4 linked regions of the Pelodiscus sinensis genome follow. The protein of the gene in region 3 interacts with the protein of the main gene of each other region in a pairwise test. Links are inferred from orthologs where the notes say so. Each region holds a gene or a part of one and is shown on either strand. Other genes may lie near its edges. The genes, in order: CHIC2, RGS17, HOXA1 and SPRY1.

The links.
Region 1: the proteins of HOXA1 (region 3) and CHIC2 interact in binary tests that used the Homo sapiens proteins (3 or more experiments, as listed by UniProt). The two-hybrid records come from large-scale screens. The link is inferred for Pelodiscus sinensis from reciprocal best matches to the Homo sapiens genes HOXA1 and CHIC2.
Region 2: the proteins of HOXA1 (region 3) and RGS17 interact in binary tests that used the Homo sapiens proteins (3 or more experiments, as listed by UniProt). The two-hybrid records come from large-scale screens. The link is inferred for Pelodiscus sinensis from reciprocal best matches to the Homo sapiens genes HOXA1 and RGS17.
Region 4: the proteins of HOXA1 (region 3) and SPRY1 interact in binary tests that used the Homo sapiens proteins (3 or more experiments, as listed by UniProt). The two-hybrid records come from large-scale screens. The link is inferred for Pelodiscus sinensis from reciprocal best matches to the Homo sapiens genes HOXA1 and SPRY1.

What each region holds. Positions count from the first base shown.
Region 1 is NC_134715.1:85,603,063-85,610,886, forward strand, and holds the start of CHIC2 (cysteine-rich hydrophobic domain-containing protein 2), read left to right. Parts: upstream 1-4,255; 5' UTR 4,256-4,435; coding exon 4,436-4,554; intron 4,555-7,824.
Region 2 is NC_134713.1:109,023,532-109,032,204, reverse strand, and holds the start of RGS17 (regulator of G-protein signaling 17), read left to right. Parts: upstream 1-5,158; 5' UTR 5,159-5,284; intron 5,285-8,673. UniProt on the Homo sapiens protein: Regulates G protein-coupled receptor signaling cascades, including signaling via muscarinic acetylcholine receptor CHRM2 and dopamine receptor DRD2.
Region 3 is NC_134712.1:196,637,737-196,645,541, reverse strand, and holds HOXA1 (homeobox protein Hox-A1), read right to left. Parts: upstream 3,396-7,805; 5' UTR 3,348-3,395; coding exon 2,726-3,347; intron 2,321-2,725; coding exon 1,965-2,320; 3' UTR 781-1,964; downstream 1-780. UniProt on the Homo sapiens protein: Sequence-specific transcription factor. Regulates multiple developmental processes including brainstem, inner and outer ear, abducens nerve and cardiovascular development and morphogenesis as well as cognition and behavior.
Region 4 is NC_134715.1:38,167,524-38,175,096, forward strand, and holds the start of SPRY1 (protein sprouty homolog 1), read left to right. Parts: upstream 1-4,342; 5' UTR 4,343-4,500; intron 4,501-4,558; exon of another isoform or gene 4,559-4,838; intron 4,839-5,234; 5' UTR 5,235-5,687; intron 5,688-5,693; exon of another isoform or gene 5,694-6,049; intron 6,050-6,055; exon of another isoform or gene 6,056-6,938; intron 6,939-6,965; exon of another isoform or gene 6,966-7,349; intron 7,350-7,573. UniProt on the Homo sapiens protein: Inhibits fibroblast growth factor (FGF)-induced retinal lens fiber differentiation, probably by inhibiting FGF-mediated phosphorylation of ERK1/2. Inhibits TGFB-induced epithelial-to-mesenchymal transition in lens epithelial cells.

The sequences.
Region 1 (7,824 bases), on a different chromosome or scaffold from region 3:
TTTGAAGTTTGTCAAAAAGGTTAGCCCTTTTCCAAGAAAGAGGCAAGGAAAAATAAATTTTAACATTAACATTAACCCTTCCTTTGCTTGTGCTTTAGAGTAGAGACTTGAAATTTGATTGTGGACAAAACACTTTGTCTGGGAGGTGCCTTTTTACATACACCAGGAAAATTCATCCAAAATTTGCCAAGCTGTAAGTCTTTGAAAAAAATCACAGCTTGCATGTTCAACCAAAAATTCTTAGTTTAGCAAAGAAAATTTCCACAATTCTGTTCTCACTGAACATGAGTCCAATATGTTTACTGGGATTAGTTGGAAAAGGAGATTAGGATGAGAATTCTAGTAAGAGGAGACTAGGACTGAGTAGGCAAGAAGAAGGAGACTGAGATAAGGAGTCACGGTGGGGAAAAGACAGAAGACGGGGACAGGATGGAGAGGACAATACAAAAGGGGTCAAGCCTGTGAGGAATGGGCAGACGAACCTTTGTCCAGAAGGACGCACTCCCCTCCAGAGGTTGAAATGGAAAGCTCATTCTTATCATTCCTCCACCACCAAATATCTGTGAAACCCACTAGCAAAGGGTGTGTCACAATCCCTTTTAGTACTAGTCCAGACAGAGGATATCAACTTGCTATTGTTATGAATTACTCCGTTAGTTCAAGTGGGAGAGTACGCAAAGTGGATTTCTAGGTTTCAAATCAGCTGGTGAACTATATGGGTATCAGCATGGTGCCACATGACAGAAGTTCTGGTTTTTAATTTTATTTAAATGAAAGAAATTATACAAAAACTATGTTAAAAGAACATTGTTACTTTTGTAAAGTCAAGCAGTCAAGTTAGGAAATGCCAGAAATGAAGTTATATTCCCCCCCCCCACACACACACACTACTAACCAATGTACCTATTTCAAACTAACTTTTAAATGTAGACTGATCCTTAGATTCCTAGCTGGCTTTGCATGTTATGGCCAGTAAACTCCCCCCCCCCCCCCAAACACACACACATAGCTATGTATTCTGTAAAAGAAGCTTAATCACTTTTTGTATTTAACCTGAATGAAAAGCAGCTATGTTACACCCACCACTTCAACAAGGTTTCACTCAACCCCCCATCACAACAATATGATCAGCTATTATAATAGAACTCATGTCTCACCTCAGTGTATCCTTTGGACAACAGTCAACACATAAAGAACATTTCTATCAGGGTATGTCTACACTAGCACCCTAGTTCGAACTAGGGAGGCTAATGAGGGCGACCGAAATTGCAAATGAAGCGCGGGATTTAAATATCCCACACTTCATTAGCATGTTCTCGGGCGGTCGCCATTTTGGAAATTGACTAGCATGGAATAACTGCCCGCATCTACACGTGGCAGTGAAACGGGAGTTCAAAGTAACCCCTTACGTCAAATTAGCTGTTAAACCTCATTCCAGGAGGAGTAACAGCTAATTTGAGTTAAGGGGTTACTTTGAGCTCCTGTTTCACTGCCGCGTGTAGACGCGGGCAGTTACTCCCGGTTAGTAAATTTCTAAATGGCAACCGCCCGGAAACATGCTAATGAAGCGCGGGATATTTAAATCCCACGCTTCATTTGCAATTTCGGTCGCCCTTATTAGCCTCTCAAGTTCGAACTAGGGGGCTAGTATAGACGTACCCTCAGTGACTATCACAAATACCTGTTGAAAATAGTAGGTGAAATCCATTTCAGTGAAATACAAGTGGCAAATTGGCAATCAGTATTCTCAGTCAATTCGTCCTTCCACGGCAGTCTATTACACAAAGGTTGTAAACCCATCATCAGCCTATCAAAACACAGGATCTAAATGTTCCTGCATACTTCATATCCATTGGCTTAGTCTGTTCAAACCAAAAGATAATTTTTCCTTTCTAAAATGCCATCCTGTTGCCACTAAGTCCCACACTGACTATGATTTGTTGCCACAACAGCCAACATTCTGTTACTAAAGGTCTTACTATATTGCTGGAATTTTGAACTCTTTACATTAACTTCCAGTTTTGACAAATGTTAAAGGTGCAAAGGAAAAACAAAAGATTTTTAAAAAACAAAACAAGAAATGTGTAAGTCCTAAAAGTTCTAGGGTATGGGGCAAGTGTACAAATTATATTTTGGGGGAAGGAGTTAAAGCACATTATAAATGCAAGGTTTTTTTTCACTTGTATACTTCCTGGAAGACACTATGCATTACTGAAGAACTAACAGAATTACATTATCACTAGTAACAAGAAAGAGAAACCTGAAGTGACAATGAAATATCTTGCAAATTGCATATTATTTGCTTTTTTAAAAATAAACTATTTAATTCAAACACCTGATTAAAAAGTTTGAAGAAAATATTTATCTGCTCCTCCAATAAGAACTCCAGCAAAAACAGTGAAGACAAAACACTTGATACTCTTGAGGGAGGGTGAGAGGGTTGAGGGGTGTCCCCCCCCATTTGTATGGGAACATTGCTGGCTGTTCCCCTTTGTCAGGGAGTAAGGGGAAAGTGTACAGTTTCCTGTATTCCTCACTCTGGCTGACGAGTACAGAGGAACCTGGATCTACCTCAGTCAGGGGACATATACCCCTTCCCCTAGCTGTGCCCACTTGAAGCAACAGTAGCCATAGAGAGGCACTTTTCACCTGGCCCCAAACTGCTGTAGTGAGAGAGAGCTGGGGTAGTCCTCTCTCCCTGGGGGTAGCCTGCATACTGACCCCCTTATCCCCAGTCCCACCCCAGAGCAATGATTTAAATGGCCCCCCAATTAATTGAGTTAAAAACCTGAGAAATGCCAGGTAAATCTTTTCGTACCTCATAAAGAAGAAAACGAAGGATACAGATTTGACCATTTTTCATTAAAAATGGTGCTTAATCCCCCCCACATGTTAAGCAATGTCAAGCTTTGCTTTAACACTTGCAGGAAATGGGCTGGAGATTTATCAGGCTCATCCTGTACAAAGAATTTGATTCATATAAATTTATTATTAATTTTTTTCTAAATCATCAGGGTAAACTGCAGCAAGTTCTGTGGCATGCTTGTGAATATCAGATATATCTACCAAGTTGTTTTCAACTAGTACTCCAAGTTGGTGATTCAACAACTCACGTGTATCCTGTCATACAGACAAGCGAATACCTGGTTGATTACATACAAAATCTCAGTGCAAAACTTTTGACTTCCCTCAAGTAAAACCTCAGGCTCTCCCACTTCATCTGCTAATTATTTTCATTTTTTGACACAGAATGTTTGGGAGTGCATTGCAGGGTCCCAGTCATGGGAAGGAGCACCACCTAGCCACACTCTGGCCTTATCCCAGCCTATCCTATGGTTCTATTCCTGGCCACGCTCCAGCTGCACCTCTGGTCCCACTTCCAGCCATGTCCATGGGGCACAGGATACTGGAGTACTCCTAGGTTTTTGGCATCCTGGTCCTGCACCCCTGTAACCCAGGATCCTGGCCACTAGCCCCATGACCCTGCCATCTGGGATCATAGCTGCTGGGCCCACTGCTGGCCCAGGTCCCACTCCTAACTGCTGGGTCCATACCTGGGAGCTCTGTCACTGGGCCCCACACATAGGTTTCCACCCAGCTGCCAGGCTGGGGGGGGGGGACCTGGCTGCTAGTCCCAGCTCTAGGGGGTAGTGAGGAGCATGGGCAGGTGTAAGGGGGGGGAGTGTATAGCTCAGCACCTCCCCTTTTTCTGGAGGAGAAGAATGGTTCAGGCTCTCTGTGGGGGTGGGGGAAATAGGAGAGGTGGCTCAGGCCAGCTCTAGCCAGGGGAGGGCAGAACCTGGGGTGGGGGAGAAGAATCCTAGGGCTGGACGAGACCTCAGGAGGATACCAAGTCCAGCCCCCTGCCCAAGGCAGGACCAATCCCAACAAAATCATACCGGCCAGAGCTTTGTCAAACGCGGAATTAAACACCTCTATGGATGGAGACTCCACCCCCCCCAGGTAACCCATCCCAGTGCTTCCCCCTCCTAGTGACATAATTTCCCTAATGTCCAACCTAGCCCTCCCCCGCTGTAACTGGAGAGGCGGAAAGGGGGCGGGATCCCCAAAGTGGCCTGGCCAAGCCCCGGCAGTAATTCCCTCCCCCCACTGAGCACCATTTGCCCACCCAGGCCTGGCGCCGTCAAACCACCGCCCGCGCGGCACCACCCCAGGACGGACACCCGCGCTCGCCTCCGAGCCGCGGGCCGCGCGCCGCAGGAGCCCGCCCCCATAAGCTCTCGCGAGGCCTGGGCGGCGCTGTTGCTGTGGCTCCCGCGCTGGGGGCGGCGCCACGGCCCGGCCCGGATGTTGTTGTGCCTCCTCCTCCCCGGATAGCGACGGGCGCTTCCTGCCCCTGAGTCGCAGCGACGCCGGCTCAGCCTCGCCGGGGTAGCCCGGCCGCCCCGTACCGGACACAGCGCGCGGCCCGGCCATGGCGGATTTCGACGAGATCTACGAGGAGGAGGAGGACGAGGAGCGGGCGCTGGAGGAGCAGCTGCTGAAGTATTCACCCGACCCGGTGGTGGTGCGCGGCTCTGGCCATGTCACCGTGTAAGGGCCGCGCCGGGGAAAGGGCTGGCCCGGTGCGGGCAGGCCGCGGCCATGCGATGGGGCCGGGGCGCGGGGAGACTGCGGCGAGCTGGTGCTCCAGCGCGGGGGGTGGCAGCGCTGTGCCCCGTCCAGCCCCTGCTCTGGGAGCTGGCTCGGCCCTGGCGGTGCCCCGGGCGGTTGTGAGGCGAGCGGAGTGCCTGCTGTCTGCAAGCTGGTTGGGAAGGGCCAGGCGGCTGGTTCCGCTGGAGACCCGGCCGCTCCGCTGCAAGGAGCTCGCCTACGACTCTGGCTTTGAACTTCCCAACCCAGCAAGTCGGGGGCGTGTGGCTTCTCCCTCCTCCCAGCGCTCCTTCGTAGCCAACAGTGGGGGCACCTGTGGCGTGCCCCCTGCGTCGCCTCTTGCATTTTGTAAACACTTCTGCGCGCTTGGCTAGAAATCTTCACAGGCAAATCGCCCGTTGGGGCGATAAGTAAACAAAACTGACCTGGGCCGTGACTAACAGCGGTATGCAGAGTATTAAATCCAACGATGAGCTGTCAGGAAGTGGGACGTTGGGGGAAAAATAGTTCAAGAACGTAACCTGTAGTTCTGTAGTTATTTATGCGTTTGTTAGTCACGGTGTTAGCCTCTTCCTTTTATCAAGCTCCAGCGATCTGTAGTGCTCTCAAAAGTCTTAGTAAATGAGAGCAGCCAGCCAGTCTGACCAGCACAAGCACGCCCAGCATCATTAGCTTTTGGCATGTAATAAGGGTGACTGTATTGTTGTTGAGGGTGGTTTTGGTTTTTTTGAACAGGTATAAGTGAGGGGTCTGGTGATGATTCTAAAATAAGTGTACTTAATTTCTAGTAACTTAACAGACTCAGTTGTTTTATGTGCTCTATTAAGAGTTCGTTTAAAAAAAAAGTGCTCAGTGGTAGTGGACGCTCTTAGGCACTTTTTAAAAAAATGTAAAAGATAGAATAGGCCGTAAGAAGCTTCTTCATATGCATTCACTACTGAACTGAGCTGGATTTGAGACAGTAGCATAGAAGTTAAAGACCTGTATCCTATTGTCATCTGATGTTGAGTTCTCCAAGATGCTGGGGGGTAATATTAACAGTACCGTGGTAACTTTTCATTAATACTGTTTTACTGTGTTGCTAATGTCATGGAAAATATTGATGTGGAAAGACAGATTGATTTCCTCTCTGCTGAGAAATTAAAGTTTACATAAGGGCTTTGGTGCTCATTGAAAGAGATGTTAGAGGTTGAGATGTTACCACCATCCAATGATATATGTGAAATAGTCCTGATCATATACTACATTAAAATTATAACTGTAATTATGCATTAGTTTTCAACAGTTTCATTGTTCTCATTTTAAAAGGCTTAGAATTAAAGGAAATTAAGATGCTTTTCTTCTCTCTCTTGATTGTGGGTTTTGTGGGCTAAGATCAAAGCCCGCTGGTGGGAAATCATGGAAAAGACTTCACACTTCTAGCTTGTAGAAGAAATTTGGCTCTACGCTACCAGTCCTGCCAACTGTTCATGTGAATTGTTTTCTCTTTTCTTTTCATCTCTAGTACAGGTACCGGAGCTCTTGGATGGCCAAAAGAGTTCCACAAAAGTTATTTTGAGTGGTGGTCTTCAGGTTTATATATCCCACCTAGTATTAAATATGCTCTGAGGGTACACAGCAGGGCTAATGTCGAATTAAGCTATGCAACTTAAGCTACACAACTGATTAGCTCAAATCGAAATAGCTTAATTAGGCTTTTGGCACTGTCTATACAGTGGAAAGTTGAAGGAAGACCACTCTTCCTTGGACTTCCGTTACTTGTAAAATGAGGGTTACAGGAGTCGAAGGAAGAAGTCCTCCAGCTTGCCATTATTTCCAAATAATGGTTTGGAGTGTAGACACATTCTTTTTCGGAATAATGTCAGTTATTCTGAAATAAAGCTGCTGGGTAGACATAGGCTGAATGTCCTCGCTCAGCCACCTATTTTCCCTCTCTTCCCCCAAATTACATCTATTAAATTTAATGACATCGGAGAAGATTGAACACTTCTACTGGAGTTTTTCAGCTCTCCTAATGAAACTGAAACTTTTTGTAATTCCTACTTTTCATCATGTTTCCTTTAATAAGTATTTTGACACTAGAAAATTTCAAAAGTATTTGGGATAGGATGTTAAAGCTGTTTTTCTCTTAGATTTTTGTTACAGAATTTGCATGCAAAGATTTCTTCCTTGATTTACAGAAATGTGCATTTTGGAGGTTTGGAAAATTTTATCACAGATCTAGCAAGCAAAAGCAATACTTATTATTCTCTCTGTGCAATTTAAAAATGTTGCTGACTATATTTGTAGTTAAAAACTTCCTCCTTCATAGTCTGTTGTCATATCCTTTCTGATCTTGCAATGGAGTTGTAATATTGAATTTATATTATCAGTAATTTTTATGACTATAGATTAACGTGTCAAAGCCAATTATTACTTGAATGTTATCCAACAGAAGGAGAGATGGGTTGTGTGTGAAAGAATCCTTAGTCTTTAAAAAAAAAAAACACACAAAAAAACCCCACACCATCTTAGAAAAAAATAACAAAGGGAATGCAGGTGAATACTGTCCAAATAAAATGTTTAATGCAGAGGTAATCAACTATTATTTGTCAAGGTCCAAATTTCTTTGTCAAAATATAGTCAAGATCCAGACTCCAGAGAAAATCTGGACTCCCTAACTGACCCTGGGCTCCCTGTGGCATTTCTGCAGAACCAGGAGTCAGCTGGGGAGTCCCCAGCTGTTGCTGGGCTCCATGTGACGCTGCCACTTTGAAATGCCGCACTGGAGCCCGAGATTACCTGGGGAGTTCCCAGCTGACCCCGGATTTGGGGAAAATGCTGCACAGAGTCCAAGGTTGACCCCAGGCTCGCTCTACTTGGCATTTCAAAGCGGCAGCACAGCATGGAGCCTGGGATCAGCGGGGGAATTAGTGCTGTTCAGTGTTGTGGTTCTAGATTAACTGGAATTGATTTTTAAAGACACCTTACGATTGTTGCAGAAGCGGACGTTCATATTTTTCCCCACCATATCACTGCAGAGCACAGTTAAGGATACTTGCATGCCTTATTTTCATATTTCCATACTTTAATATGTTTGGATTTCTTTTGAGTTTGAATACTCATGAAATTCAGAATTAGTGCTTGTTTTGTAAATAAATACAATATCCTTGTGCTATTTACCCTTAAGTTACTGATGTATGTGCTCTACTTCATCTCCACTTTAAAGTC
Region 2 (8,673 bases), on a different chromosome or scaffold from region 3:
GATATCTTGAGAAGGTTATTATCTTGGGGAGTTTCTGTACTACACATTTTGTTATAATAATTTTTACATAAGAACTTTCATACTGGGTCAGACCAATGGTACATCTAGCCTGGTATCCTGCCTTCCAACACTGGCCAATGCCAAGTGTTTCAGAGGGAATGAACAGAACAGGCAATCATCAAGTGATCCATCCCCTATCCTCCAGTATAAGCTTTTGACAAATAGACGGTAGGACACTTGGAACACAGGGTTTCATTCTTTCCCATCCTGGTTGTTAATCATTGATGGACTTGTTCTCTGGGAACTGATCTAGTTCTTTTCTAACAGTTATAGCTTTAGGGGGTTGCTGAGTTAGTCTGTACAGAATAAACTTAAAAAACAACAAATGGTCTGGTAGCACTTTATAGACTAACAAAACATGTAGATGGTATCATGAGCTTTCGTGTGCACAGCCCACTTCTTCAGATGACCAGAGTTGCTTTGGCCTTTATAGCTTTGGCCTTCATAGCATTCCCAGCAAAGAGTTCCATGGGTAAACCATATGTTATGTGACTACTTCCTTCTTTTTTTAAAAAAAACCTGCTACTTATTAATTTCATTGGGTTACCCCTAGTTCTTGTGTTACATAATGGATTAAATAACATTTCCTTATTCACTTTCTTCACACCAGTCAGGATTGTATAGACTTCTATCATATCCCCATTTAGTTTTCTCTTTTCCAAACTGAAAAATCCCAGTCATTTCAATCTCTTCTCCAGTTTCGTATCCCTGATAATTTTAGTAGCCCTTATCTGTATCGTTTCCAATTCCAATATATAATATATTTGGGGGGGATGGGGTGACCAGACTGAACACGGTATTCAAGATGTGAACATTCTATGGATTTATATAGTTGATTTGTGATATTTTCTGTCTTATCTATCACTTTTCTAATGGTTCTTAAGACCCCATTAGCTTTTTTGACTGTCATTACACATTGAGTGGATGTTTTCAGAAAACTCTCCATAATGACTCCAAGATCTCTTTCTGGGGTGGTAACAGCTAATTTAAATCCCATCATTTTATATGCACAGTTAAGACTGATACATGCAAAATAGTGCACATTAGAAAACATACAGCCCACCTTCACCCTCACAGTCTCACCCTTCATCTGACATCTTGTAAATTTGAAAAAAATACACTTTCAGTTACTGGAGAAAACACTGATCTAAAGAAATATAAGGAGAGTGAATGAAAGAGATGGACATAAGGAGGGGAGATGAGGAACCACAGGAGGTGAGGGTATGTGTGCATGGAACAAGAGTAAATATGGATGGGTGGATTTGCTAGAGATTGTGGGAGGCATAAAAGGAGATGTAGAAAGATGAAGTCTTTTAGTCACACCAAAACTGTCAACACTTTTGATTTTCCATATGTACAGCTTGAAGATTTAGAAGCTTCCTCTGCAGATGTGTGAATAAAAACTCCTCCTCCATTTCCCTCCATTGACCATTACCCCTGAGAAAACCTATGCTTGCTGATAGCCAAGGAGCTGGTTTCAGCAGTGATACTGAACATGTTCCATACAAGCCAAGCATTAAGGGGGGAGGGCACATGACCCCCCATGACTTTCCATGTGCGGTCTGTCTCTGCACGATCCTCACGCCGACCTAGGCATAAATTCTATTACCACACATACCTCCTATAACCATACCAAGTTTGCAGGTGGGAAACTTTTCTTTCATAGCTTCAAAATATCTGTCAGAGCATGGATCCCCTCCTGAGGAACTTATCAGCAAACTTCATTTAGGCTCCAGTTCAGGAAATCACATGCGTTTAAGTCTTACTGATTTCTGTGGATATAAACATGAACTCATAGCTTTCCAGGCCAGGAAAGTAACATTTAGTCTGACCTCTTGTAACACAAGCCATAGAACCTCCCCAAAATAATTCCTAAAGCATGTCTTTTAGACAAACATCCAATCTTAAGTTAAAATTTGTCAGTGATTCTGATCAGTCTTGGCAAAGATTGACAGTAGTTTAAGCATAAACCATTTTTAGGCTGTGGTCCTGCATTATGGATGAGCAGACAATCTGCAGTGCAGACTCCCTTTACCCCTTACAAAGTACAGCTATCCTATCTCTCTGGTCTTGATCAATTTAAATACAGCCATATGAGGACAGATAGGAATGTAAAGGATTGCAGAACTATGTGCTTGGCCTAATTGCACTGAATCCCAGAGCCTGCTCCTGGCAGATGCTGAGCACTTTTCTCCCATTGAAAGTGGAGTTAAAGGTGTTCAGCACCTAATAGGAACAGCTTGGATTGGGAAAGCCTTGACTGGTGTAGAGCCAGCATAGAGCACCCTGCCCGCTGCACTGGCTATACATCACTCTCTTCTTTTTGTGTCCCAACATTGGGGTGGGATGATGCTTTCCCCTGACATGGCTCTGACTGACTTTAGCTCTCATCATTAGGTGTTTGAAGTGCCTCTTCCCAGAATGCAGGGACAAGGGCATATGATTACTATAGCTGTAGAAACAAAAGGAAAAACTATATAGCACTTTAAAGACTAACAAGATGGTTTAATAAGTGACGAGCTTTCATGGGCCAGACCCACTTCCTCAGATAATTTGAGGAAGTGGGTCTGGCCAACGAAAGCTCATCACCGATTAAACCATCTTGTTAGTCTTTAAAGTGCAACATAGTCTGATCTTGCTAAAACAAAAGGAAAAACTAACACAGCTACCTCTCTATGGCTACGTCTACACTGGCCCCTTTTCCGGAAGGGGCATGTTAATTTCAGAGATCGTAATAGGGAAATCCGCGGGGGATTTAAATATCCCCCGCGGCATTTAAATAAAAATGTCCGCCGCTTTTTTCCGGCTTTTAGAAAAGCCGGAAAAGAGCGTCTACACTGGCCCCGATCCTCCGGAAAAAGCGCCCTTTTCCGGAGGATCTTATTCCTACTTTGAATACTTTGAAGTAGGAATAAGATCCTCTGGAAAAGGGCGCTTTTTCCGGAGGATCGGGGCCAGTGTAGACGCTCTTTTCCGGCTTTTCTAAAAGCCGGAAAAAAGCGGCGGACATTTTTATTTAAATGCCGCGGGGGATATTTAAATCCCCCGCGGATTTCCCTATTACGATCTCTGAAATTAACATGCCCCTTCCGGAAAAGGGGCCAATGTAGACGAGCCCTATTAGTATAGCTGTAGAGTTAGTCTGTAGTTCGGCTATAGTTAGTCCATTTTTTTTATTTTAAAAGAAAAAGTGATTGATGGTTATACTGTTGTTGGGCTAATCTTCCTGGGCTGCTTACCTTTTCTTTATTTTAGCCCTATGAAGAGCTAGCCTGTTTTTTACTCAGTATTTGAAACACTGTTCCACCACAATATTTTGGGTTCTAGATTATTCTAGTGGACACTTGAAAAGCTGCATAGACGTTAAACAAGGAAGTGTATTGGTGAGAGATATGCAACCAAAAATTAGCTGGACCAGCAGGATACAGGTGCAAAATTAAAGGCTTTACACTTTTCTTATGCCATTATAGATTGGGATCCAGCTTGTTTTGGTTGGTTAGTAGAAAGAACACTGGTTTTCTATTTTGATGTTAGAATTTCTGCATTTGTGACAGGATTCTGTAGGACCTAGATGCCAGACCTGAACTGTTGTGGGGAGATTGACCTGGCACATCAGGGGATGGATTTTGTAAGGTACAATAAGAATGACTAAATGTGTTCTCTGTTTAAGCAGTGAAATTTGAACAGTTGGCAAAAAGTTGGCAGAATCCAGATGCTGGCACCATTGTTCTGTGAGGAGGTGAATCATGGTCTTGGATTTGTGTTTCGGTGAGGGGCACTCACACTGGTTGTCTGTCCAGGCATTTGAACATGACTGCATGGAATTCCAAAGTTATCCAGATGGTTTTTGTGTCACTTGTATGGAAGTGCCTCAGGATCTGAGTGTTTTCTTCTGTGTGTGCACCAGGCACTCAGCAGCTAGATCTTTTGTCTCTTTTGGCTAGTCCAATTTGCAGGCTAAGGTACAGAAGCAAGCAGGATCCAAGTAGAGCTTGTCAGCATCCTGTATTTACCCATGAGAGAGAAGGTGGCTGAGAATCTAATATATAAAGGAGAATGTTTGTGCACTAATAACTTGGACACTATAAGAGCTACCGCAACCAAACTTTGCATGGAATAACCTTTATCCAGGAGAAGGTTTTAAGGTACTTTTGGACCCAATTGGGCCCAAGCTCAAGCTGTAAAAATCAAAAAGTAACCCCCTGTGCTGTGCTACCAGGGGCCGCCCCTCACACTCTAGGTCCCGTGCCCGCCGGATGCGGCCCCCAGCGCCATCCAGGACTCGCCCCCTTCTGCCCGTGAGGTTACATAAGTGACCCTTCCCCCTCCCCCCGGTACACAGTGCCTCGACCCCCATGCGCATAACGGCTCGGGCACCGCCCTGCCCCATGTGACACCTGCAGGCCCGGGTGCAAGCTGGGGCGCCCCTCTCGTGTGTAACCTTCCCTCCACCCGGGGCCGCACCACCTCCCAGGGATGACTCGGACCTATATTTTAATCCCTATAGAAATCTTTGCAACTTTTCTACCATTCAAAGAAAGATAATGGACTACTGTTTTTCTACATTTTCTTCCTCCGGTTTCCCGAGCAATGCCGGGTAACTCCAGCTAGTTCCTGGACCTGCATTTAGCTACATGTCATTTACAGTCGTTCCCTTTCAAACCTTGAAAAGAAGGCGCCTGTCCCAAGCTGCCCCGGCCTCCCATCCACAGCACACCTGGAATAAGTGCGATGGCCAAGGTCCCAGTGGAAGGCAGCTGGGCTCGCTCCAAACCCGAGCCAGGTGATTTAACAAACCATCGTTTCTCCCTGCCCAAAGCAGCCATATTTGGCTGGAGCCTCCTTCCCAGAGCCCTAGGACCGATAGCACCGGTGCTCCCCCGCTGGACCGCTCCCTCCTCCAAGCTCTTTGCCTGGGGCCCTGCTTGCCAGCCAGCCTGCTCCGGGCAAGCTCCCCGGGGAGGAAGCGGAGGCAGGGGACTGGCGGTGAGTCACGCCGGGGAGAAGCGGGGAAACTCCAGCGGCTCGGTCCAGCGGAGTAGCAGGGCGCATGTGCGCTCGCTCCCTGCCTCCCTCCCTCTCGCGCTCCCCCCCCCCAGCTCTCTCTCCCTGCCGGCTGGGTGCTGAAGTTGGGCGGATGGCAGCAAACCAGCTCCGCTAGGGACCAGCTGCGCGAGCCGCTCCCCGGGATCGCTCAGTGCCAAGCACGCGCAGCCAGGCGGGGGTGGGTAAGCCAGAGCGGGCTTTATTCGCATTATGTATTATCTGAACCTGAACCTTGCTGAATGGCACCAACATGTCTGCTTGAGCCTGGTGCATGGAATAGAGAGGCGGGCGGGCGGGCGGGGGAGTGGGAGCGCAACTGCTCCTGTGTGTGGCGGGGGCCGCCGCGCTGGCCCGGCTGCAAGGAGGGGGCCCTCCTGCTAGTGTCGCTCCCCTCAGGGGATGCCCCCAAAGCGGGGGAGCGCGGGGTTTGGCGAGGGCTCCGCCGGACTCCCCGCGTATTCGGCTCCCGGGCTGTGGCTCCGGAGCGATGCTGCTGCTGTGCATCAGCTGCATCAAGGAATCCTGATCAATCCAGGCGGGGAGGGAGGGGGGTTCCTACCATGTTGGGGGAAGGGAGGGGGGATATCGGGAAATGTCCTTGTGCTGATGCGAAAGGGAGGCTGGGCGTGTGTTGTGGGGGGCTCGTACCTTTCCTCTTGCCCCTCTCCTCTGGCTCCCTTATCGCGGCTTCGGGTCTGGGCAGGAGCGTGAGGGCAAGGCGCCCGTGCAATTTGTACTGATTTGAAACCATCCGAGCCCCTGGCCTTTTAGAAACCACCCGCTGGGCTCCTTGGGAATGGAAGTGGTTCCCCGTAAGACCTGCACAGGGGCATGCGATACAGTGCGTGGTATCGCAAAGCTTTTGGCCGGGGTGTGTGTGTGGTGGGGGGGGGGATATAGGGACGAGGCCCCCGCGCAGTCTATAGGTGCTGCTTCGGTGCAGGGCAAACGGGGAGCTGGCTCATAGGTACCGTCCTTGCCGTTCGGTAGGCTGAGTTCTGGGTTCCCTTTACACCCTCTCCATAGCCCTTCATGGCACCCACCCATCCTCCCCCCTCGTTATTCTGCGGCATCAGCCGGGAGCTGGGGTTTGGCCGGATTCTTCTCCCCCTGCTTTTCTGCGTGTGTGTGTGTGTGTGTGAAAATGTCGGAGCATGTGAGGCTGGAGGAAGGACGGAGCCTATGGGGGAAAGCAGGCGGCTACAGATGGTTAGAATGTGGCTCGGGAGGTAGGAGGCTGGCTCGTGGCAGCGAGCGGCGGCTGTGCTAGCAATAGCAGAGCCTTCCCGGCCGGCACCAAGTTAGGAACAGCGAGAGCGCTCAGCAGAGAGGCGCTCACAAGCCAAAAGCTTTGGCGAAGGAGAGCACATGAATCCCACCGCCCTTAGCCTCTGGCCAGGACTTTCTGTGACACAGGGCAGCCGCTGCCCAAAGGGGAGAGAGTTCAAGGGAGACCCTGTGAGGAATGGTTCGTTTCCAGTGGAGGTTGTTTTTGAGGGATTTGGTTTTCCTTAGCAGCTCTGCAGCCCTTAAAATTCAGGATCACAAGCCATGAGTTCTTATCCTCATCAACAATGAACTCACTGGAAACTGAAGAAAAGCAGCACTCTTGTCAATCTAGTTTATTTCTAGAGTGCCCATCATCATACCATCATTATCATGGTTTTAGAACAGGCATAACTAGAAGTTGGGGTTTCCAGTACTGAGCGGATCTTTTATTTTACACATTTCTAAGGATTTCGGCTATCCTGTCAAGAACTTTGCAGCCTAGGTGCATAGTATTATATATATAGATAGATAGATAGATATACCTTTAAACTTATTTAGTATTTTTAAATCAAGAGTTAGGTAAAATGGATGAATTCTCAAATGCAATAATAGATGTAATTGTTTTTTAAATAGCTGGTAAATGTAAGAAGAAACATTTAGTAACTGCATTGGTTTTATGGTTAACATATAATAACTGTGCAAAATAAATGCATACATACTGCCTATTTCTATAAGTTTTTTAAAAGGAAGTTAATTCCCATTCATATCAATGGAAGCTAGTGTGCCCAGCCACATTACAGGATACATAATTAGTGTCATCATGATATCTATTAGCACCTATTAGTAAATGAATAGGAATGATCCATTGTTTAAGCTTTGTAAGAAACATTGTATCCTAAGATGATATTATAGCTAATAATTTATTTTAATTTCATCAGCACTCAAATGTGCAGGGCACCATCCATATATATAGAAAGATCCAGTCCCAGCTCTGAAGTTTTTATAGTCTCATATCTACACTTACCTGCACCATTGATCTACTTCAGCTATGCAAATAGCATAGCTGAAGTCAACATACTCCCTGTGGCATCTTGCATGCACTAAGGTTGATGGAAGCTGCCCTCGGGTTGACTCTGGGTATTCTCTTTGCCTTGATGAAGTACCAGCATCAATGGGAGCACTCTTGGAGATTGATTTATCACATCTAAGGCAGATACAATAAATCCATGGCCAAAATGGAAAATGTTTAAAATGTACATTAAATAAATGTTGTGTTTATTAAAGGTGCTAGTCTAGTAGTTTCCTTTCTTTCTCCACAGAGTAAGGATAGCACAAGTAGTGTAAGCCTTTTCCCTTTGCCTGAGCCCTTACGCAGAAGTCACCTTTAGGATGCAAAGACAGTTCAGTTTTCCACCTTGCCAATCCTTAGTCTTGCAGCTGAGACTACAAATAAGAATTGCAGTGATGAGGGCTTGATTTGTGTGTGAGAGATATGGATACACAAAATTGGCCTGAAATCATCAACTCAGTTAATAGTCTACTGAGCAATAGTAATAACTTTTTGTTACTAATGGCTTAGACTAAATTTAGATCTGGCAATCCGCTAAAAGATTCTCTATCCTAGTCCTGTTACCTGAATCACTGTGTCTCTGGATCACAGGGGAGTATTTATTGTTTTGGGGGGTTTTTTCTCCACAAGTAGTCTAAATGCAACATGCATGCTATATTGGACCACAGCTCTGTTGCTGATTGCCTTAAAGTATGATTCATTGTGTAATCTGCATTATTTGAAAAGTGGATAGAACTCTTCTACCAAAAAGTAAGACAACAGTGAAGGCCCTCTGATAGAACTTCTTCTACCAGAAAGTAGGACTTAGGTGGTGGTGGGCAGGTAATACATGAGGAACACTAGAGTTGATCACACTTGCTCAGGAAAATGCTTGCCAATCGTGCCATAGGGTCACAAGTAGGGGTCCTTCAATTTATCTTTCACCTGAGAAGAATTAGGAGTATCATAACCTATAGCCACAGTATTGCAAAGGAACTCTTAGGTTGCCAACAGCCGTGGACATAGGACATTTGAACATAACTATCTGCAGAAACAACATGGATGAAGCACAAGGCAGTATAGTAGAAACTCATCTGAATGGATACCCTCTCTAACAAATAAAACCTTGATGAAGCCCAGATGCTGGAATCCTCTTCTCATAAAAGTTGAAGAGGAAATTAAAGCAAATAGCACTCTAAGACATAGGAGAGAAGATACCAGCTGATTTAAAAGTAAAGCCAGCTAGACAT
Region 3 (7,805 bases):
TGCAGATGTGCAGGGAAGGAATAAGATGTTATTTATTTAGGCTGAAATTCAAATGATCACAGCAATTTTATACCTCACGTGGCCAGATGAACATGTCTGTACTCTGTCCCGCAATACGTTAAATTAAAAGGGGGGGGGGGGGAGGGGAGAGAGAGAGAGAGGTGCGACTTTTCTTTTAATCTGCCAACTGTATTAATCTGAATCGAAGTATTGGGGGAGTTCCTAAAATTTACTTGAAATAACTTGTTTTATGCACCAATCGGTGTAAATGACTGTGCTAGCTGAAAAAAGGCAATCTGTGTGTATCACCTGGAGATGAAGTTCTCTCAGAAATAAGGAGCAAACAAGAATCACCCAACTTTCCGGTTGTGAACATCCTAAAGATGTCACTGGCAATGGGAGAGAGAATGAAGCTGCATTTCTTGGGTCAGCTTTAAACCAGGGCTAATTAAATGTGACTCTCTGAACTATGGGCCTACGATGTGAAGGAAAACTGACTGAAGACAGTTTCTGCTTTTGAAGAGTGCTGTTTATATCTATGTCAGCGTGCAGTTCGAGGTGAAAAGGTTAGCACTTGAACCAGGAAGTTCTAGTATGTGTTTTTCAAAAATAGATCTAGTTCATAAATTCCCTCTGCTGCACTAGAGAGCGGGTGTTTTCTTATATTTCCTAAAAGATAATATTGGTGAAACATTAAAAAAAGGGAATTAGACTTGTGTAATGTGGCAGGGTCGAACAGAGTTCTGACCTCACCTCACGATCAGGAGAAATTATTTTTTATTAAGTCGCATATCAAAGGCCACATCAGTGACAATGAAATGTTGAGCTAAGTATGATCAACAACGGCACGAGAGGAAATAAAAAGGACCCACATCAAGCATACCTGAAACGTGAATATATTTATTACAGACATTTTCGGACCCGTAAATTCTGTTCTGGATTCATCACGCTCAGAATCTCAGAACCTTTAAATGATTGCACAGAAAAATCAGGAAGATGGTTCTGTTCACAAATGACAACTGATAAAACTCAGTGTACCTTAAGTACATCAAAGCACTGTGCATCATGCAGTGTTCCATACACGAATCACATAAAATATACATTCATTTGGCCATTCATCACATTTACGATTTGGTCGAAAAGACATCGAGTCGAGGGTAGGATTAATATGAAAATAGGAGTAGGTCAGGTCTTTTGGATAATATACCCTTAGGTCCAATATAATCCAGCACAGATGGGGGAGTGAACATACCACGCAAGGTTTACAAAACCTAGTGCAATTGAAGCCTTTTTCTTCTATCTCATCAAAAGAAACCGTGCCATTATTTGAGGTATCTGATTGACATTAACAAATCATCTTATATGATCATCAGTTTTAACAATATAAAATTGAATCCAACTTTGAGAATGTACCTACCCTATTTAATCTGATAATCTAAACAGCATTTCTAGAAAATCTGTAAAAAGATAAATCTCTTGGACAAAGTATTTACAACCAGCAAACTCATACACACGAAAAAGAATACATTAAATTAAAGGATGAAGGTACTATAATTCGTGTAAACACTCTCAATAGTGCATCTCTTCATGAGGTTATGTACTCTACATATCCTGTCTTTATGTAAGGAAAAATATAGAAATGTCCTTGATTTTTTTTTCTACTGAGAGAAACTCTTATAACTGTGCCAACAAATCTTCTGCAGCAAATAACAGCGCGAGCTGGAATTTTTAAAAATAGAAATATTGAATAAGTGGTCAACAGAAACCTGATTATGGAAACCACTGTTTAGTTCTGCATAGACTAAACAGCCGGAGAGCCTTCTAAAACTAAATTCTCTGGAAACAAGTGGATTGAAAGTAAAGATGACTGAAAGATTAAAAATACTTTAAATCAATGAAGCTTGCTAAAGATGTGGCTCTAGAGTGAGAGACATAGATCTAATGCAGTGGGGGCCAGAAATATTTCAGTTTGAGGTAGTTAGAGTGTCTGAGGTAGATGAAGCTGGTGATGGGGTGCATGGGGATGAACTGGACTTTTCTGATGATTCTTCTGTTTTTTCTTCACTTCCTGTTGGGGTAGCAGGGGAAATGGGGAGCAGCCCCTCTTTCTCTCTTTTCTTCTGCTTCATTCTACGGTTCTGGAACCAGATCTTCACCTGTGTTTCATTCAGCTGCAGTGAAGCAGCTATCTCCACCCTCCTTGCCCTCGTCAAGTACTTGTTGAAGTGGAATTCTTTCTCCAGTTCTGTGAGCTGCTTGGTGGTAAAATTGGTCCGAACGGTGTTGGGCTGACCTACGTATCCGTACTCTCCAGCTTTCCCTGCAAAAGTACAGTCAGCGTTCAATGAGTGAGGCACAGGCGACATAATCACAGCATGTACACACAGGTAAAACGATATGAAACAAGAACTTCTTACAACGAGAGGAATCCGGGGACAGTGAGTGATGGAGTGTGAGGTGCTAACATAAAGTCGGCCACTAGTGTGTATCAAAGGCAACTTGATAAATTGTTTACGAATTACAAGAAATATTACCACAGAAAACCCCCGCTTGGAACTTCCATTCGATCAGCTGGAGGACCCTGTCCATCCTTAGTGGTCTCAGACCTCCTTACCTGTAAACAACAAGGCACCTGCCCGCTGTAGGTAAGAAGGGTTTGGTCTCGTTTTATTAAAGAAAGTGGAAGAGGAAAGAAACAGCCCCCTGCTCTGAAATCGCGACTAACCTGTTTTAGGCGGGTTTCTTTTAACTTTCATCCAGTCAAAGGTTTGTGCTGGAGGCGAGGTCTCTGCAGAAGGAGAGCGACAAGCTTCTTGGTGGCTGGCATGGAGAGGGGATAAGGAATTGCTATAACTCGCTAGAGGCAGGTTCTGCTGCTCCTGTCCGTATGAGGGGTGCATGTACTGAGCGGGACCCACCGGGGCCCCAGCATAACCTTGGTGAGGGTGGGGATGCTGGACCATGGCAGATGAGAGGTTTCCAGAGTACACGGCGGGGGCGCATTGGGGATACCCTCCACTGACATCTGCTTCCTGATTTAGTGCGTAGGGACTGTAACCCGCGCTGAAGTTCTGGGTGCCATATCCCGTGCCACAGCTAGAGTAGGACATGCCCAGATTGTTGTGAGGCTGGTAGGCACCGGTCTGATGGTGGTGGTGGTGGGGACTTATCTGGACCCCCCTGCCAACCATAAAGCGATCCTCCCCGTTGCAGTGAGTGGCAGTGACCGCACAGGACTGGAAAGTTGTAATCCCATGCTCTGGGGGGTAGGTGCGGGAAGAGCATGCCCCGGGCTCGCCGCCGAGGATGGGGTACTCGAGGAAGGAACTCATCCTCGCCGTGTCCATTTATCACCGAGTGGCCGGGTCTTCAGAGCCCTGGGTGACCGTGCCAACTTTCCCACTTCCTCCATGGGGCCGGGAGGAAAATGATATGAATGTACAGTGAGCTGGGGGCACGTGAGGGCGGCAGCCAATGGCTGAGCCTCCTGCTGCAAGGGCCCTGCTCCGGCTGGTGATGGATCACCCTTTCAGTGGCATTTAAATTCCGAGCGCTCCTCCATCAAGGTGACGCGAAGCCGCCACCACCTCCCTCTCCCCCCCCCCGGCTCCCTCCCCCTGAGCCAGTGCATTGGGGCTTCGGAGCCGGGGCCGGAGAGACAGTGTGCGCCCGGGCGCGCAGCCTGCAGCAGCGGAGGCGCCACTGGAGGGGTTGAAGGGGGGGGGGGGGGGTTGCAGCCTGGATTACAGGGCTCGGAGCCCCAGCTGGAGGCGGCCAGGTAAGAGGCGCTCGCTCGCTTTGGGCGCCCACAGCGGGTCGGGGCCGCTCCCTTCCCAGGGCGCTTGGAGGGGTGGGGGTGTCCAGCGGTCCTCAGCGCCGCTCCAGGGAAGTCCCCTCGGCGATCGGGACAGCCCCCCCCCCCCGTGGTCCTACGGCTGGAGGGTGCATGTGCGGGGCGGGGAAGCGGGCTGTGCAAAGGGGGGCTCCGAGCGGCGTTGCGGGGCTCACACCGCCCGGGGGGGGTATCCCCTTCCGGAGAGCCCCGCGCTCGAGCAGCTAAGAGTTAAAGGGGCTTGTCCCTCCGGGTCCCCGCCGCGCCGCTGTGATTAGCATGGAAATGAGGCGCCTTTGTAATTTAACGCCATTGTGCTGGGGCGCGGGGCCAGCGGAGCGGCCGGAGCGCTGCTGCACCGGCCCCTGGTTGTTAGGGCTCTGCCTAGAGCTCGGTCGGTGTCGGGGCTGGGGAGGGGACGGGGGGCGGAGAGCGGGGAGGAAAGGCAGGAAAATGGATGACGATTGCAAACGTGGAAGCTTTTCCAGGTTCTGCAATCCATCTGCGGGGTCCTGTGCCACACACACACACACACACACACACACACACACACACACACACACGGATGCAATGCGTGAGATCCAGGGACAGGTCCTAACACACCCAAGCACTGGAGGACATGCCCAGGAGTTAGGGGGAGGGGAAAGCAAAGGAGGTGAGGTGCCAGCCACAGCAGTCCCTATTTCCAATTAATCCTCTTTGTCACTTGGTGGCTGCCTACTCCACCATAGAGTAGACAGAGAGTAGAGGGGAAAGGTAACAGATGGCTAAGCCCCTCCCTCCCCCCCCCCCCCCCCCACACCACCACAACCCCCTGGGTGATCTATCTCAAACTTTCTCTTGTTCCAGGCAAGGAAAATTGTACCATTTTATAGAAAAGCGTGGATGGTGTTTGGCATCTGAGTTCACATTCACCTTATCTTTTCACACAGTTCAAGAGCTAGTCAACATGCAGATAGCCATGTAACTTCGGAAATAGTTTTATTCTTATCTTTTTCAGTCTGAAGAACTCTCCGTGTATTTATGCAGATACACTTCAACTTTGGCATGTGTTGCTTTGTCACCGTGCCCGATTGATTGTTGCTTGTATCTTAAAATATAAAAGGCTATTTCCCCCTTTCCTTTCTCCAGCCCTCTCCCTCCACCCACACACACTGAAGTGCAACATCCTCTTCCAAGTGATAAGCTACCAAAAGTTTCCGAGGCTCCTATTCGGGCTACCCATGTGTTCGTTTCACCTCCATAGCCCCCCCTGATATCACCGAATATACGTTCCCCCTCTTAAACTTATCCATAAAAGGTTTGTCTTTCTATTTACATTTTACACACTTGAACAGATTAGAGTCGATTGAAAACATCCAATGTCTTTAAAAGCGGGGGGGGGGGGGTGTCAAAGGGAGGGGTGGCCAGCAAGCCGGTATGGAACAATGGTCCCTCAAACCCTTTTTGGGCTGCAATATTGTCTTATTTAATTCTTGTCAATCCGTTGTGATAAATGCTGTATACACCAGGTGCAGACTCGGGCTGGTGTATCTGTTTACCGAAAAAGAGATGTCTTTTTCCTGGGTCTCTCTCTCTCACACAAACTTTGACGATTAACAAAAGTGTATAATATACCATGCATGTATAATCTATTTATATACACCACTGATGTCATACCATCATATTAATAGAACAGAATTGTTTACTGCAAGAACAGTGAACTTCTCTCCATATTTAAAAACAATGTAGCTGCAAATCTAACAGCAGATAGAATTCCTTTCCCAATATTTACCCGTGGTTTTTGCCAAGTAACAGCTCCTCTGTTACTCTCCTTTGCTTCCTTTAAACGGTTTCCTTCATTTCTGTACCATTGTTTTGAAGAAATCCGTGTCTTTTGTTACATTGTCCTCCTTCAATGCCTCGGATTCTGCTGCCATTACAGTGCCTCCATGCCACATAATGGAAAGGAGGGACACCAGGGATAAAATACCTCTTCTCCCTCCCAAAGAGAAAAGTTGCCCTCAGACACGATGGCATATGCACACAAAATTCAGAGCTATGCTGCTCTTATAAAAGGAAAACCTTTATGCTAGCCCCCAGCCTGCCCCCTTTGTTGCTTCGGCCCATCGGTTTGCAGAAAGTCGAGTTCCTTCCCCAGCAATTCAAAGCTTTGAAGCATTTCTGGCGCCTCGTGCGCATTCTTGGAACATTCCCCAAATAATACTTGTGTGTATATGCCTGTGTGTCTTTCACACACACACACACACGAACTTTAGGGGTAACAATGCGTTTCTTAGAGGAATTCTATCAGCTAGATTTGCAGATATTGAATTTAAATAAATCCCGAGAGAAGTTTGCTGGCCTTTGATTAAACAGCCCGGTCCATTTAAGAAGACGCTATGACATCACGCTGTGTAAAAGTCTTAGCGAAATATCGTAACGCCAATAATTAAAGTCCATTCGAACAGGCGTTAAAATCCTCGAGGAAACTGCCCTGTTCCAAAAGCGAAAGTGCTGAAGCAGGGAGAGAGAGAGAGAGAGAGAGAGAGAAGCTGGGCCGAGGTTTCTGCGGCATCCGCAGCTCAGCCAATCTGTTGTTTTAAACGAGCAATAAAAATGAATTATGACTAAACGCCTCCTAACTTAATGGTTTCAGACGGGGATCCCCGGCTCCGGCAAATACGTAAGAGGATTTTTATTTGTGCATGTGTTCCTGTCATTGATCTCTTTGATGACATTCTCATTCATAGAAAGAGCGTGATTTATGAGTTTAGGAAGAATTGCATCCAGCCCTTCCAGCTATTGCCCACGCATCCCAGCTCCACAGAGTGTTGCGGATCAGAGAAACAACACACCTCAAATGAAATGGAAACAAACTACTCCAGACACATGGATTCATTGACCGCGTTTCAGATATACCCCAGAATATTCAAAATCAAAAGGCGACGCGATCTGTGAGCAGTAAAACTACTTACTAAGCATCTGTTGCTTGATTTTAGCGCAGTATAAAAAGAAACCCGCTCGCCTTCTGAACTGGGTTATTAATATCGATAATATATTCTTACCTAATTAGTTGTAGTTTTTAATGAGCTTCGTTACCGCTGTAATTAAAAAAGTTACACATTTGGGACAGTGAGCCGTTCAAGTGGCTTCATTGCAATTGAAACATGTTCACCATTCGCTTCCAGTTTTAATGACCCACCCTTAGCATCGCAAACCGGTTTTAAAAGAAAGCGACCTCGTTATGAGACCCCGCAGAAAAGCCCGAAAGGAACTGCATTTAGAATTTAAATCCCTCCGAAATGGATTTTCTCGATAATAATTGTTCTTATTTCCTCTCTTTTTTAGGTTTGTTTTCTTGGAATCTTTCAGCACATGGGAGCTAATCCAAGCCGCACTTTGTTAGCCTTTGTATTTTTAAGGACGTGTTTCAGAAAACGACCTGGTGGACATATTTGCGCTGAGTTACAGAAGAATACGGTGTTTAAAATGAGTCTTCCACTCGTGTAACAAGCCAGCTTCTATGGCAGGCACGTTCCCATGTATAATAGATTATATTTTGCCTGTAACAGCCGAAACTGCACATTATGGTTTTTGTCACGAGTTAGAAAATCCAAGACTTGCGTTCACACACATAGACAACCTGTTATATGTACATTAAAAAGAAGAAATCTTGATGTGGAGGGGTTTAGTTATTACCTTTGTTGGTGAGACTCATCGGGTACTTTGAATTGACTTGTGAGAACCTTTGCAATAAAGAAATTGAATGTGATTTTTTTCGCTCTAATAAATCTATCAAATTACCAAAAGGTGAGAGATTGTGACCAGAATGTCTAATGTTATTTCTGAGGATAAATTAGGAGGGGTGGGGGGGAATACCCGTTATGTCTAGAGAGAGAAAGAGAGAAGAAAGCTACTTGTAGCAAACAAGAATTTATTCTACCAAAAATACTTATGACAACGCATCCTAATGTAATACAAAAATAAAAAG
Region 4 (7,573 bases), on a different chromosome or scaffold from region 3:
AATTTCCCATGTGCGTACCCACAACCCCGTGTCCTTGACAGCAAGTTGTTGTATGTTGCTGCATTTCTTTACAGAACTTCAAGAAAGCTCTTTGCACAGAAGAAATCCCCAGCCACTTGTCTTTTTGATCTCAGATAATGATCAATCTGTCTACTGGAAAGTGTGACTGGAAACTCCACCTCACATCATCCTTCACTTTCCTTCACTTGCACTAAAATACTTCACTGTGACTTCAGTGCTCAGTTTCCTCTCCTCCCCCACAATGTTTATGATTTTTTTACTTCAGCTCTGCACAATAGCTTTATTTTGTTACACCCTCCACCATCAATTTTAGCCAAGCCCTACCTGCCACAATCTCTCATTTTTGTAATTAGGAAAAAGTGCTCTTGCTATTAGTAATAAATAAATAATATAGTAACAATATGTGGCAAATCCCTGTATTTAAATCCACAATCTGAAGCCAACATTCTACCCATTTTTCAGGGAAGGAAACTGGCCCAGAGAAACTAAATTCCTGCCCTGAGAATAATTTTTAAAATATTGATATTATAAACTATGCATAGTGTATCCTATTATCAAGACTAATGCTGTTTTAAAAAGTGAATGCTTTTACGAATTGGTGTGGCTGCTCTGACCCACTTTTGAGATAGGAGATGAAAGATTATATAAAAGGTTATGTTTCTCCTCCCATTTAAGTCAGTAACAAAACTCACACTGACTTCAATGGGACCAGGAACTAGTTTCTAAGTCCAAAGAGCTTCCAGTTTATTTAAATGGTGTTTTGTTTATAACACTTATTTTTTCAGCTTGAAATGAATCAGAGGTAATAATGATGAGAGTTTATATTTCCTCATTTCTTTTAGCAATATTACATTTATTTTTGTGTTGACAAGACTTTTTCACTCCCTTGTTTGTTACTGAATTAGAAGATTGTATTTATCACTTTTCAGTGACAGTAACACATTAAGTCCAGCCTCAGAAACATTAACGTTCATTAGACATGTTGGGTGGATATCCATGAAGTATATGATGTTTCACATGGTCAGAGATAAAGTTTTGCATTGTAGTGTTACAGTAAGTATGTATATTGTTTTACTGGGTATGTTGAAGTTGTATGAGAGATATTTTTAGTGCATCAGTGAAGGTGGTGAAAATTATGTATATTGGTTAGGGGATGTTAAAAGAAGATACCTTAAATTGATATTTCCTTGTTTTGAGAGGAATATCCACTCCTTAGGAAACTTTAACTGTTTTAATCAGTTTCTTCTTTGGAGGCATATGTTTTTCCTTAGAGAGGTACAAAAATAACTGTATAGAAATGACCTGCTTTTTAAAATTAAAGATATACCAGAGACCTCAGAAATGTGTAGCAAACTACTAAAAAGCATAAGAGTCCTCGTTCATCATGCCTTATTATGGCATAATGTTCAACGTGTTAATTACTATTTCTATTGTGGTTTGTTTCTTTGTTCTTTTTGTTTAAAGTTAACTTTTTGAAAACAATTATAATATTTTAATAACTTGAAGATACAGTAACACGCCTTATAGAAATAACTGATAATTATAATTAGTGGAAGCCTTTGAAAATGTCATTTAAGGAATTTTTTTTTATTGTTACGAATATATGCAACAGAGCTAGAGAGAGAATCTAGTTTTCATAGGTTCTACTCTAGTTTCTCAGTGACAAGATCATCCTGTAGAACAAATGGGTTAGAGCATGAAATTAAAGACTTTTGACTTAATCTGAGTTTCTCCCAATATGTAGCAGAATGGGGCATGCAAAAGTAGTCTTAATTTGTGGAGAATATATTCAAATATGAAAATGTACCTATTTTTTATGAAACAACATAGCTCAGTTCCCAGTTCTGTAAGAAGGGGACATGTGAATCAGACCGGGTCAGAAATTTTCTGGTGGAACATTTTTCTGTCAAATCAAAATGTTCTGTGGGCATATGATAATTTTGATGAAACTTCTGACAGAACACGCAAGTTTTAGAAGAAAATCTGCTTAATTCCTTGCCTGCTCCCCATCTATCTTCCTACCTCACCAGCCCTTCTGAAGGCCACTTTCTGGGAGCCCAAAGAGAATCTTTCATTTTGGAAATACTAAAACATTCCCTCAATGGGAATGTATTGGTGTGTCTAAATGAAATATTTTGGAATTTCACTTCCAATATGGAATTAAATTTTTTGGAAAACCTCAAATTTTTTTTTCAGAAGTGAAATGAAGTCTCCTGGCCAGCTCTATTGTGAAACATCTCAGATCCTCCATTAACTCACCTATACTTTCCTGACTTCTGATGTCTTGCTCAATAAGGAGGGCCGTGTGAAGCATACAGAAAGTAATACGTCAGTGGAAGAGATGAGATTTGAAATCCTCCGGTAAAATCCTGACCACATCAAAGTCAAAACTCCATTACTTCTCCATTTTTATTTCTTTGTTGAGCCTATTTTGGTCAATAGATATGGAGCTTTCTCTGTATTAATTGGATCATCAGATTCTTTCCTAACAATGCTTTAAGAACTTCTAAAGGTGTCAAACGAAAACCCTTTCATGTAAAATGCCTTAGAGATCTGAGGCTGTGTCTGTGCAGCTGAAATACAAGGATGTTTTCTACTTGCTAGGTCAGCGCGTTGGCTTTAAAACTGCATTTTACACCAGCCTGAGTGCACTGTGTCCATGCAGGGAGGAAATGGGTAGCATTTAATAAGTGGACAAAGTTCATTTTAAATCCTAATCTTGTTTTCCAAAATGCTTGTAGCCCGCCCCATCTTAGTACCGTTTGCAAATCTCAGATGCATACTCTCACTCCATTATCTAGGTTATTAATAAAAAATATTGAATAGTATTAAACCCAGAACTGACTGTAACATGACCCCTGTAGATACATTCTCCCAGTTTGACAACAAACCATTTAATGGAACCAGATTAAATAGTTGCTGCAAAACTTGTGTGTGTGGAGGAGGGAGTGCTTGCCAATGGAAAATGACAAAATTAGTAAGGAAAACATTGTATCTCCCACCATCTGGAAGAGTAAAACCAACTCCTTGCAGCAATTTTGCCAATTTGTATTATTGTGTTGATGCAGAAGTATCCCTGAATGTGGCCTAAAGTATAAAATAGTTGCATATATTTTACTGCGGGCTAATTTGTAGAAATTGATAACCAATTGTTTTTATTCCTCTAGTTATATGAAAATCTTGATAGATACTGAGCACTCATAACTCAAATTTTCTTCATTGCAAGTTTGGATGCTCAGTGCCTGTCAGGATTTTGCTTAAAACGGATACAAGATAAAATCAGCCTGGCAAACTCCCCATGGAGTCCACAACATGCTAGGAACCATATAAACAAAAGGAGGCATGATCTTACTGCCTCAGAGAGCTCATATTCAAAGGTCCCAATCCTGCAAACAGTTATGCATGTGATTAATTGTATGCATCTAAATTGATCCATTGACTAAGGTCTGATCCTGTAAGCTAGTCTGTGAGAATGGACCTCTTGTCCCCGTGCTAAGTGAATTGATTTCAATGGGATTACGTGTGATAACAGAGGTCTGGCCAGTAGAAACAGCTTGCAGGAAGCAAGACAGAAATGAAAGAATGGTAAGGCAAAGAGTAAGAGGTAAAACATATGAATAACGTGATTAGAGCAGAGATCAGTCCCATCTTGAGAATACAGAATTTGATAACATAAGATGTCTTTAGTTATTGTTCTAAGTTATGTAGACTGTTCACAGTGACCCTTCAACCTTGTCTTTATCAGACATCTAGATTCTTGTCAATATCACAGTACTAATCAATCTTTTTTGAATGTGGAAAGGTTAGTAGTCTTCAGGACCATGGCAGGAAGAAGAGAGATGAATGTGGGAGAAGTGAACAGATTTGCATGTTGTAAATGTATGCGGATATTATTTTGCAGGGGAACAGAAAGAAGGGTGAGTAGGTTTTGCGCCTAGGCTAGTGTGTTTTTGACAGTATTACAAGGCTGTGGCCTCAAAGACATGCTTAACTTTCAACAATGAATGCTCCTAATTAGTTCTGAGAGACCATGTAAGTGCTTGCCAGATCAGGACCAAGATCAAGTTCGTGACACATTGACTCGCACGCACATACGTTTATTATCTATTCCATTCTCACGTTACTTTCCACAATGTTAAAACATTTTACAGGGTAGCAAGTAAACCTTGAAATTCGCACGTACAACTGAATGAAGAAATGGCTGCCGGGTTGTAGAGAACTCCACTCCAGGATTTCAAGAAAGCTTTTCCGAGTGACACATTGACATCATCGGAGGCGTGACTGAGGGGGAGGCGGGGGCTCCGCGCTGAAATGCTGCTGTGCGGAGCTGGAATTACTGTGTAACAGCAACAGTAAAGCAAATAGCAAAGTGATAGCAGCAGACAACAGTGAGCAACTGCTGTCTATATTGGTTAGGTTGGAATTATCTCCAGTTTCTTCACATGTGCATTGGGGAGCAGTTTTTTATCTTTGTATTAGGTAAGCATCAGCAGCGTTTGTTCTCCTTTTGGAAGACATTTAAGAACAGATCAGGTGTTTAATGTTTGTTCTTGAACTGAAGAGGGGGGGGGTCTCTTTAAATTCTCGTTTTCAGGTCTTAGCTTAATGGTTGCTTTGCCAGATGCAAATAACATTTGTATTGTGAATTACAGTGCCGTTTACTGCTAATGCTTTCATAGAAAGAATACTGGTGCACTTTTATTTCTCTCTGTTTTGTAGTTTAATTCTGCAGCAAGTCAACTGCGTGAAATGATTAAATATGCACTATACTGAATTAGAGACTGAAAAGTATTCTCGTGAATTCTCTAGTAAAATAGGTAAAGCCACTTACAATTTGCTGGTAATGTACAATTTGCAATTAAGTTATTGTGCCTCCCTTGCGTTGTTGGTCTTACTTAATGAACAGATTTTTTTTGCGTGCTGGAACGTTGTTTGCTCCACTTGAAATGCCAGGGAGTTTTAAAAGCACTTCCTGCAAGAAGTTTGTGTCTAGAGTTACATTAGATTTTAGTTTTCTGACTGACATGCTCCAAGCCTGTCAATCAGTCTGCAACAGCAACAAGCAAGCACATGGCAGTTTGCAGAGAGCTCTGAGACAGAGCCATTGCTTTCTGCTGCCTCTCGCTTGCATGTTTTAGAACTTGCTCCAGTTACGGTAGATATGGCTTGAAAATAAGCGTCTCTTCATTATTATTATTATTATTTTGCGACAGGCATTCTCGTTACACTTTGGCTGTACGGAGGGGAGAGGGGTTGCAGCAGGACCATGTGGTGAAGCAGAGCTGGATCTGGGACGTCGTTTTGCACCACGCAAGTTCAGCTTAGAAGGCTCGTGTGACTATCCAGGGGAAATACAAGTGGAAGTCGGTGGAAGAAAAGAGGAATCTTGTATTCCTTGCCTTGCTCTGCTCTATCTTGTTGGATCACGTTGCTGCTACTGCAGGTGGCTCTATAGCTGCTTCTGCTCGTTTGCGGGCAGCAATTGTGCCTGCATCTTGCCATTTTGATCTGCTAGCTTGAAATGAACCATTTGCAGCAAGGGGTTGATTGTCGTCACCTATAACCGAAGAGAGAGACTTGCAGCCAGAGAGACGGCTTCCTTGGGAATCCCACCACCATCGAGTGATTTACTTCTCCCAAGAGAATTGTGCCTGCTCAATGAACAAGTGAGTTAGGGGCACGCAACCATTGAATGTTTGTTTCTTTTGAGCAGAGGTGCGGGGAGGGAGGAGGGGAGAACTGCATTTCCCTCCGCTCGGTGAATGGGATCTGGTGATCACTGTGTGCTTTGCAGAAAACAGAAATCCGGAAGAGTTGTCCTCTCCAACCAAAACGGGGCTGGAAAAAAAAAAGAGAGAGAGAGAAAGCGGGGCACAGTCTCTTCTGAAGGGGAAACGAAACCCACCCGCCTTCTCTTAACACTTGCGCTGCTCTGTGGATCTTAACTGGGGTGGCTTGAAATGGATTTGCCACTAGTGACTTCTTGGAGATAAGTCCTTAATTCCTCTCCCGTTCTTACTGAGCTGAGGTAAAACTCCGTGAGGTCTGCAGCGCCGCCGCCTTTTGCACGTGTCGAGTTGGAGGAGTGAGCAGGTGTCGTTGCATTTCCCCCCTTCCCCCTTTTGAGGGAAGGGGAGATCAGGCTGCTGCCAGCCGTGTGCTGTGGCGGAGGTCTGGCGTAGGCTGGGGTGGGCCCGTTCTTCTGGTGTGTGTGTGTTTTAACTGGCGCTCAGGGTTATGTTTTAATCCGAGGGCTCTGAACTTCTCTGGCCAAGCGAGCAGGCTTGAGTGTGCAAAGGGGCGGGACGGCGAGAAGCAATGGCTTAGGATTCCCGGCAGACCTGGGCTGTGCACTGCTGGTAGCTCTCCTGAGTGGTGTCTGGGGGAAACCTGGTGCCCGTGCCCCAAGCTGCCCGTAAGGATTCAGGGAGAGGAGTGGGGCCAGGCCGTTGTGTAGTTCCCCCTTCTCCAGAGGTTGTTCTGGATCTGTGCTGGAAAGGACCGTGAGGTGTGGGGAGGAGGGCGGGAAAAGAGGTTCTTGCGGGCGGTCAGGCGGTGACACTTTATGAATGAGGGAGGAGGGAAGTGAGGGGGTCACGTTTTGACGGGGGCTCTGAAATGCTTCGTGGAAACATCTAGCAAAACCCTTCCTCCTCCTTGCAGAGATTGCTAAAAGCTGCCTTCAGTAACCCCTAAGGGGAGAGCCTTCCTCCGCTGCTGGCTGAGGTTTGGCAGGGCTGTAGAGGTGGAGAGGGATAAAAGGAGAGAGACTTTCCCCCTCCCCCCTCGTTTCCCCGCCCTTAGCCCACCGGGGGAAAAATCCCCTGTGCACGTCCTAGCACACCCAGACCTTCCAGTGCCGTGCTGGAGAAGGGGGATGCTACAGCTTTAAGTATTGGAAGGACCGCCCTCCTGAGGTAATGGTAACCTCCGTCTTCCCCTCCTCCTGCAAAAGGGGGGGGGGGGCAGCCCTTGTTTTCATTCATAACTTTTCCCTCTTCCTTCCTCTCCGTCAACTATTTATTCATCGCTTCGCTCGGCTCGGGTTGCAGAGGGCGCAGCTCCACCGCCGTACCTTGTAGTGGGGCGATCTTTGGCTTCCTCCCCCCCTCCCCTCTCTCTTGCACCTTTCTGTGTAGCAAACAAGCGCCAGTTAAAACGCAGCAATGCAGAATGCATTCGGGTGGTGATTCTGCCTTTTGGAAGCTGAGCTGGGAGGAGGAAAAAAGGGGGGGCAGTTGGGTGAACCCCGGTCTGGAGGAAACGCAGACGTACTTGTACATTGTGCTAAAATCCGCAATGGTTCTGAGCGTGGGCATCAAAAAATGGTATTTTAGACTTTTGTTCGCTTTACTTTTGGGGGAAAAAAAAGTAATTTTGATACTCGCAGTGGGGGTAATTGGTTCTTTCCATTAGAAACTGTGTGGCTTGCTGCTGGCTTTTTTTGTCTCTCTTTATTACAATGTGTATCGTCAATCTGCGTGTTTTTATTAATATTGAATTTTTTTCAGAGATGGCACTGGTTGCACTCTTTTTTTAAAAATACTATCAG